2 linked regions of the Arabidopsis thaliana genome follow. The protein of the gene in region 1 interacts with the protein of each later gene in a pairwise test. Each region holds a gene or a part of one and is shown on either strand. Other genes may lie near its edges. The genes, in order: HB-7 and MBD02.

What was found.
Region 2: the proteins of HB-7 (region 1) and MBD02 interact in binary tests that used the Arabidopsis thaliana proteins (3 or more experiments, as listed by UniProt).

The regions. Positions count from the first base shown.
Region 1 is NC_003071.7:19,164,727-19,169,122, reverse strand, and holds HB-7 (homeobox 7), read left to right. Parts: upstream 1-2,155; 5' UTR 2,156-2,349; coding exon 2,350-2,709; intron 2,710-2,929; coding exon 2,930-3,346; 3' UTR 3,347-3,849; downstream 3,850-4,396. Other genes in the region: AT2G46670 (CCT motif family protein), read left to right, coding at 3,890-4,342. UniProt on the Arabidopsis thaliana protein: Probable transcription activator that may act as growth regulators in response to water deficit.
Region 2 is NC_003076.8:13,522,735-13,527,652, reverse strand, and holds MBD02 (methyl-CPG-binding domain protein 02), read left to right. Parts: upstream 1-1,854; 5' UTR 1,855-2,032; exon of another isoform or gene 2,033-2,377; 5' UTR 2,378-2,382; coding exon 2,383-2,828; intron 2,829-2,933; coding exon 2,934-2,987; intron 2,988-3,405; coding exon 3,406-3,563; intron 3,564-3,767; coding exon 3,768-3,928; 3' UTR 3,929-4,250; downstream 4,251-4,918. Other genes in the region: AT5G35320 (DBH-like monooxygenase), read right to left, coding at 4,509-4,888. UniProt on the Arabidopsis thaliana protein: Probable transcriptional regulator.

The sequences.
Region 1 (4,396 bases):
CACCATACTGATAATCTAACATAAAAAGTCCTAATTAATTGTAAATATATCAAAAAATTAATGTCACACGCGGCAAGTCGAGGAGCTTGCAAATACAAACAAGCCAAGCCATCGTTTATTTAGTAATAAATTAAAATTATACTTTTTAAAAAAAGAAATGAAGAATTTGTCTTCTCCTACGGCTCTTCTCAGAAATTGCGATATACTAGTTAACCACGACACGTGTGTACTTTGCTGGGCCAAAATATTCAGGCACCACCACAGATCAACTGCCATGTCATCTCTTCTATCAACTTTGATGTCCCAAAGCATTGAACTCTCATCTCTGATTATAACACTTGGCTAGTTTTCGATGGCTGATTTTGATACTTTTTGATTGCCACTTTCTGATAAGTTCAATAAGACTTTAGAAATTGATCTCTTACGTTAAATTTTAGTTGGTACTTCTTTTTGGTTTAATTTTAGTTGATACTTGATAGATATAATTTCGAATTATGTTTTTTTTTACAAATATCAGATTTAATTATTAAAAAAAGAATATTAGGGTTTGAAAATATCTTATCTAGATGGCCCAATTTAATATTTTTGCTTGTATTAATTAGTCAAAAGAAATTTCCGACAAGCAAGGTGAACGTAAACCTTAAACTAATCAGGAAAGCAAGAATTAAAGTTGCTTTTCACATTAATACTAATATTGTTAAATTGTTATCGCTATCGTGAAGAAAATAAAGTCTAGGGAATCTGCCTCAAATATGGTTTCCCTGTTGGCAAAAATTTAACTTGCTTCCATTCAAATGATGAAATGTTACGAAAAATTAGCCTTTTGTCTTTGGAGTAATGTTTGTTAAATAATCACGAGGCATTCATTCTTAAAATACCATAACATTTATAGAGGTTTGAAGTACCATAATTTGTAAAACTAAACTAGAGAAATTTTGCGAAATCAGTTGTATGAAGACTTTCTTAAAAATAACGTTATATAGACTCTAGAAAAAAACTATTATATGCCATTTCTATTTAGTTTTTTTTTCTAAAAATATATATAAATATGGTGTTGTTAACATAAAAACAGAAAAAAAGAAAAATTTAGAAAATTTTCTCAAGAATCATTATATCTGTGATTTATCATATAAGTTCAAATATGATATTAGAAACAAATAGTTTACGAGTATAATAGTATTGTCAATTTTTCAATCTGAAGTAAATATCTTTTTGTAAGGAAGGGGTCAACAAATGATCACAACAGAGTTGGCAAAAAGTTATCAAATCGCATGCACGGAAGTTTTACGTGTGGTGAAGGTAAACTTGTATTACACTTATCTATAAAAATTAGTTTAGGCTTTGATTCTAAATCAAATCTCCGATTAGAAAAAATTGCGTAAGCAAATAGCTGGAAAAAATTGTATCCCATCATACTTAAGTCACAATGTTTTGTTTTTGAGATTTGTGATGTAATCAATATATGTTTTACAATGCAAGTATAATAATATTAAAGTCACATTCTAAGAAAATTATGATTTGTGTCATACGTATACAAAAACACCCGTCACACATCCTGACTTCTGAACGTTAAATCTGTCGCACACAATCATAAAAATTTAAAAATTCACCAGAGATGTACTGAAAAGAATATAATTAATCACATGATGATATATGCATAGGAGATGAGGATTATTCATTTTCTGAAATTCCCTATATGAACCATTATAATTGTTTAGTAATCAGTTCAGAAATGCTAATCATTATATGAACCATTATAATTCCCTTCATTTTTATTTAAGATCCACTTAACAGGATTTGTTAATATGCACCCACATCACTAAATACATTGGTACGCAACCGTTGTTCCATTTCCATTTTCACATCGACCAGAATGTTTACTATGCGGTAAATTGTGTAGTATGCAGATTTTTTTGTATCATTTAATTTTCTAACACTTGTTAAGTCGAAACTAATTTTGTCACAAGTAAAAGAAATAAAAAAGGTGGAAATTATTAATCAGTAGTTAGATGATTAGTTTCGAGTTGAAATGAAACTCGACTTAACAAGTGATAGCGACGACTCTAGAAACAGCCAAAATCCGCCCTATTGCTACCTGTCGACCCACAAATCGTTTACTCAAAAATGAATAAAAAATTTACGATAAAGCAAACCCAAAGTTATATCTTATTATATGCTAAGGAGCCCTCCCAAAAAAGAACAACAAATCACATTTTTATATAACTGTTAACATAATAATCTCAGCCTCATCAACACACATATATAGATAGCCAACATCACACAAACATAGAGATTCCAAAAAATAAAAATAAAGAAAACATAAATCCTCTGAGGAAAAATTCCGATGAGATGACAGAAGGTGGAGAATATTCTCCGGCGATGATGTCAGCAGAGCCATTCTTGACCATGAAGAAGATGAAGAAGAGCAACCACAACAAGAACAATCAGAGAAGGTTTAGCGACGAGCAGATCAAGTCACTGGAGATGATGTTTGAGTCTGAGACAAGGCTTGAGCCAAGGAAGAAGGTTCAATTAGCTAGAGAGCTAGGGTTGCAGCCGAGGCAAGTGGCTATATGGTTTCAGAACAAGAGGGCTCGTTGGAAATCCAAGCAGCTCGAGACTGAGTACAACATTCTCAGACAAAACTACGACAACTTGGCTTCTCAGTTCGAGTCCTTAAAGAAAGAAAAACAAGCTTTAGTCTCTGAGGTATGTTCTAAACTCTGTTTATTCTTACATGGTTAGTTAAAATCTGTGTATTTTGTGGTTGTATACTGAAAAACTGTGGTTTTAAATATGTGATAAAATATGTGCTTTAGTGGTTATATTGCAATTAAGGACTGATTAGGTGATCAAGAAAAACTCTGTTTTGATGGTTTATTGAAGGAGAGAATAGATTGTTGATGAGTTGTTTTATACCTTTATGTAGTTGCAGAGGCTAAAAGAGGCGACGCAAAAGAAGACACAGGAGGAGGAAAGGCAGTGTAGTGGAGATCAAGCGGTGGTTGCTCTAAGCAGCACACATCATGAATCAGAAAACGAAGAGAACCGGAGGCGTAAACCGGAAGAGGTTAGACCGGAGATGGAGATGAAAGATGATAAGGGTCATCATGGGGTTATGTGTGATCATCATGATTATGAAGATGATGATAATGGTTATAGTAACAACATCAAGAGAGAGTATTTTGGTGGGTTTGAGGAAGAACCAGATCACTTAATGAACATTGTTGAACCAGCTGATAGTTGTTTGACATCATCTGATGATTGGAGAGGTTTCAAATCAGATACTACTACTCTCTTGGACCAATCCAGCAACAATTACCCTTGGCGGGATTTTTGGTCATGAAAACAATAAACTCTAAACAAGAAGATGAAACAGATTGAGACTAAAGATTGGATATATACATATTCAAATCGAAATTTACCGGTCTACATCGCATGAACCGAGCCACGGATATAGAGATATTCGGTCCAGCAAATGACTCGTTTCTCAGCGAGAATTTTGCAGGATTTTGAGCTGAAATTGTATGGTTTTGTCTGTATAAATGATGTGTTTAGAAAGACGTATATTCTCAGTTCGTGTTTGTAATTCTGTTTTTAAGTAGTAAGTACTCGTCATGCTTTGTAGCTAAGTAGTAAGTTTAAGACTAAATTTGGATGAATAAAAATCAAAAGCAGGAGAAATCATATATATAAAGTGTTATGCATTAATATGTAAAAGATCAAGAAGAGAACTAAGTTGGTGAGAAGAAACTGATATTAGGAACACGAAAAGAACCATGAAACCCAAGTTAACATCTTCTTGACTCGGAAGATTTAAGGAGAAACTTTGTTTTTTTCTCAACAAAAGCAGAGTATCAAAACAGAGTCAGTCAATTCGCAAATTCTTATGTATTTAACTTGCAGATTTGAGGAAAGCAAGTCAGCAGAAAAAGCCGTCGTTGCTTTAGAGGAGAGTACTTCAGGTGAGCCAAAGACACCAACCGAATCACATGAAAAGTTGAGAAAAGTAAGATCTGATCAAGGAAGCTCCACAACGAGCAGCAACCAGGAGAATATCGGATCATCAAGCGTAAGCTTCCGTAACCAAGTTCTTCAGTCCACAGTAACGAATCAGAAGCAAGATTCACCCATACCGGTAGAATCAAATCGCGAGAAAGCAGCTAGCAAGGAAGTAGAAGCTGGTTCTCAAAGCACCAATGAGGGGATTGCTGGACAAAGCAGTAGCACAGAGAAACCAAAGGAAGAAGAAAGTGCGAAACAACGTTGGAGTAGAAGCCAGAGAGAAGCTGCATTGATGAAGTTCCGGTTGAAGAGGAAAGATCGATGCTTTGACAAAAAGGTAAGAGACACACAAGCTTCATCATAAAAACAGCATCTGAAACAAATACAAGAT
Region 2 (4,918 bases), on another chromosome or scaffold:
CACCCACCAAGACCACCTCAAAAACGTGATGCGACGGTCACCAATCATACACAAGTCAAGCACCTAATGCAAGATGGCAGAAACATGTGGAATAAAGAAGTAATAGAAGAACTCTTTGAAGCAGATGAAGCACGATTGATACAAGGTTAAGATTAAGATCACAACCGTCCCCTGATGTACTAGGCTGGAACTACACAAAGCATGGGGAATACACATTCAAATCAAGTTATTGGCTCTGTACACATCTACCGAATCAACAACATGATTATGTTCCCCCACCAGGTTTACCCGAGTTTAAGAGAGTAGTATGGAAGCTAGACACGACACCAAAACTAAAGCACTTCATGTGGCGGATAGTAACTCAATCATTGGCGACAGGCGAGGCCTTGACACGACGACATATCATTTCAGATTCACAGTGTAAACGATGTTGTGCAGCTCCTGAAACATTAGAACGCCTATTCTTTGGATGCCATTATGTTCAAGCTATTTGGAGGGGCTCTCCGGTGTCACATACAGCGTTTTTCAATCCACACTTACCTTTTGAAGATAAATTCAGATTAATCCTTCAATGCTGTACTGATACGAGACAAGACCATATCACAAGACAAATACCTTTATGGATGTTGTGGCACATATGGAAGAGCAGGAATTTGTTAGTTTACCAGCGAAAAGGGAGTAATTGGCAAGATGATGTACAAAAAGCGATAACAGACTCATATGAGTGGATTCCTCTGCAGCGAGACACACAACGACGAAGTCTAAATGACAGAAGCGGGCAAGGGTAGCAAAAACCTATTCACGGCTTTATCAAATGCAATTATGACTGCAGTTTCTCAAGGAATGATCTAGCACCAAAGGCTGGTTGGATTTTACGAATTGACACAGGCAGTTATCTACTTGCGGCTCAAGGTACAAGACAACTATGCAACTCAGTGCTAGAAGCGGAACTACAGGCTCTCTTGATGGCAATGCAACATACATGGAGTAGAGGATATCGAAAGATTATATTTGAAGGTGATAATAGGACTGTGGAAAGCTTACTCAATGGGAACACAAGGAATTTTGAACTTCATAACCTCGTCATGGAGATACAACATTGGCGGAAGAAGTTTTCTACTGCCATTATCAAATGGTCTTTCCGGTCAACTAACAAAGCAGCTGATCGATTAGCTAAAGTGGAGTTAGAAAACATTGTTACTTTTGTCTCTCATTCTTATGTACCTCTGTTTCTTGTACAAATCCTCCATAGGATTACACATCATCCCTCTAATAAAGTATATCTGTTAATGTTAAAAAAAAATAAAAAAAAAAGAATCGGTTATTTTCGGGTTTTAAACTTAAAAACCAAAGAAACCAATATCCGAATCGAACCGAACCGTAATAAATTTCGGTTAGTTTCGGAAGAATTTTCAAAAATCCAAAATAACCGAAACCCGAAATAACCGACTCGGTTCGGTTCGGTTTACCCGAAGTCGCAGGCCTAATATTTTATATCAACAATTGACATATATTTTGACCCAAAAAAAAAAAATCAACAATTGACATATATTTGTTTTTATTAAAGTTTAATTTACATATTATGGAAGTCTCAAAATATTTGTTAAACAATGGCAAATATTTGTTAGACATATTTCATCTATTTAGCATGCACAACACGAATCCATATCTAATATTAGAAAGAATTATCCTTTGATTCTTTTTTTCTGAAGGAAATTTTGATTAATGGTAAGATTTGTTTATAAGCCCAAAAGCACAAATATTCTCCTACTTATAGCATGATATATTTTGAAGTGAATGTAAATTAAGAATTATTTTCGTAACAACAAATTTTATATTTATACAAAATAAATTAAATTCAGTTTCTTTCTCTCTTCTCTTTCTCGGTTTCCCCATTTTCTATCTAGACAAAGAGTGTTGTCTGAATTGGCTCTGTCTCAAAAAATGAAATTCTCAAATTAACCACAACGATCTTTAGAGCCTTCTTCGCTCACCGATCTCTGAAACCCTGGTTTGCTCTCGTCCTCTTCGTGTAACGATTCTTCTTCTTGATAAATTTTTAATCTTTGTTTCGGCTTTTCGATGAAATTGTTTTTTTTTTGGATCTCGTCTCTATCAGCTCATGTTCTTCTTTGATTATATGATAATTGTTGTTTCCTTTGCTCTGTTTTATGATTATTGTTGATTTTTGAGATTGAAATGTTCGAGGGTTTCTACTGTTCACTGTTCTTTACACGTATCAATGTTTTCTTGATCATGTTCTCTTATGATGTTAATAGAGAGACTAGTGTTATTGTGATGAATGATTCTTGTTAACTAAATTTGTCATTTTTGTTTTCACTTGACATTCATTTCTCTAACCATTTATTATAGGTAGTTTCTATGAGTATGTCGCAGTCTCGAGCTGTCCAAAGATCGTCTTCACCTAATGAGGATAGAGGTGAGAATCAGTTAGTGGTTTATGACTTGAAAGGAAATGATGATACTGAAGAAGAAGTTCTACCGGTTCAATCTCAGCCTTTGTCATCTAGAACACAGTGTCCCTCTATCGGGGCATTTACGGTTCAGTGTGCAAGTTGTTTCAAATGGAGACTCATGCCTTCAATGCAGAAGTATGAAGAGATTAGGGAACAGCTTCTTGAAAACCCGTTTTTCTGCGATACAGCGCGTGAGTGGAAGCCGGATATTTCTTGTGATGTTCCTGCTGATATCTATCAAGATGGAACTCGTCTTTGGGCTATTGATAAACCGAATATCTCTCGTCCACCCGCTGGCTGGCAACGTTTACTGCGGATTAGAGGTGAAGGAGGTACCAGATTTGCTGATGTGTATGTCGTTCGTTAACTCTTCTCTCATTTATGTTAATATTAGTCTTTCTTCTTTATACCATTGTATTGGCTTTCTTTATCATTCTTTTATCTTGGTTGTTTCAGTTATTATGTTGCTCCGTCTGGAAAGAAGCTTCGATCAACTGTGGAGGTCCAAAAGTTAGTTTCTCTACCACTCCATTTCCACATTTTCGTTTTCACATTTAACAAAGTGTTCCTTACTTTTATGTTTGATGAGGTCTCACTGTATCAGTCTTACCATTTTCGTCAACCAATATATTGAATCAGTAGGAACCTCAAGTATTGTTCTGTGGTCATAACTAGAGTTAGGCACTTATGCAAATTACAGAAATCCTTGCATGTGTTTTGTTTACTAACGAAAATGTACTATGCCAAGAAGTTAGTTAAACTATCATCCTTATTTCCATGATACTTCCCTGCAGCATTTGAGAGTGACAACAATGGTAGGAGAAAAAAGCTTAGTGACTTACCAATTCGTTTAGTGATTACCAAATTGTTTTCAGTGACGTATAGCTAGCTTCTTTACACCCTTATAACCACTATTACTGGTTTGCAGGTACTTGAATGACAACTCCGAATACATTGGAGAAGGGGTGAAACTTTCACAGTTCTCGTTTCAAATCCCGAAACCGCTGCAGGATGACTACGTGAGGAAGCGCCCAGCTCGACTACTGGATTCCATCGATAATACAAACACCCCTGTAGCTAAAGAAGGTGTGTTGCTTATCAAGGCACATAAATATAATTGTGGTTATCTTTTGTATCAAGGCTTTAGATTATTGATGTCATTTTTTCAGTCAAGAGTGTATTTGACGTATACTCGAACCGAACATTGGTGTCTTTAGGGAACTTTATTAACATGAAAACGTCTATGCTTTTACAAGTTTCTAACATTTCGCTTGTCTTGTTATTTTTCAGCTAATCCACTGGCATGGATATCTCCAGATGATCATATATCGTTGCAGCTAGGTACGCCAACCGAGTCTGGACTTAACAATTCACATTACCAACCATCGAAAAAGAAAAAAACATCGACGCTATCAATCTTTGGCTCCAACGACGAACTTGCTGATAGATAATCTAGCTAGACGAGAGTGAACTTATCTCGTCTTCTCTGGTATATAACCCGTCTTCTTTCTTCGTTTTTTGGGTTTGTCTTATCGAAGAAACTGAAAGCATGTGGTTAGCTTGTTTTTTGTGTATACCATCTATTTTGTTTTGCAGTGTAACATACTTTCTATGAAGAAGATGGGTCCTTTTGGTTTTTGCTTCCAAATAACTGGATTTTCATGCTGAAAGTTTTTAAACCTAAAGTTTGATTATTACCAAATTCCATTATCTCACAAATCCACTAGAGGACTGACACAAGAAAGCAGATAAGAATAGATCAGAGTCTGTTTAACTGTAGATGTGCATGTTAAGTTGGAACGTAGTTTATCTCAAAGGATATTTTAACGACATCCAAAAGATAACATTCGAAAGTCAAAACCATCCTAGGGGAGATATGGCTGAAGCTATTAGTTTGGTAAACATACAACAACAAAACTATGCCATATCTCTAATCTGCGCAAAAGGCAGAAACAAAAACTAACAACAAATCTGCCTTCTACTATCCTGCTTCGTGCATTCCCTATTCAGTTTTCCCGTGGTTAAGCCGTATCATCGGAACCAAGTGATGGGAGTGGGAGTAGTACTGACTTGAGGAAGCTGCGGAATCATACAGTTTTGCGCTTGCTGCCACGGATGCAAGCCAAAACCATAGGTGTGCTCTTGCTCTTGCTGCTGTCCTTGCTGAGGGAAAGATAGACTGGTGCTTCCAGTATCCTCTTCTATCTCATTGGATGCATCATCCATTACCACATCCTCACCTGTCTCATCCAACTCAGTAATCTCTAGTGTCCGCGGTTGTTGGAAGGTTCCTATGGACTGTGAGTAAGTAGACTGAGACGGATTCCAGCAAACAACAGCTTGACACTTGTTTAATCTCTCATCTTCATACTGATTATCATCAGCTATCGATACATCGCGAAGAAATCTATCTGCACAAGTGTTAACATTCAGAATTTAGA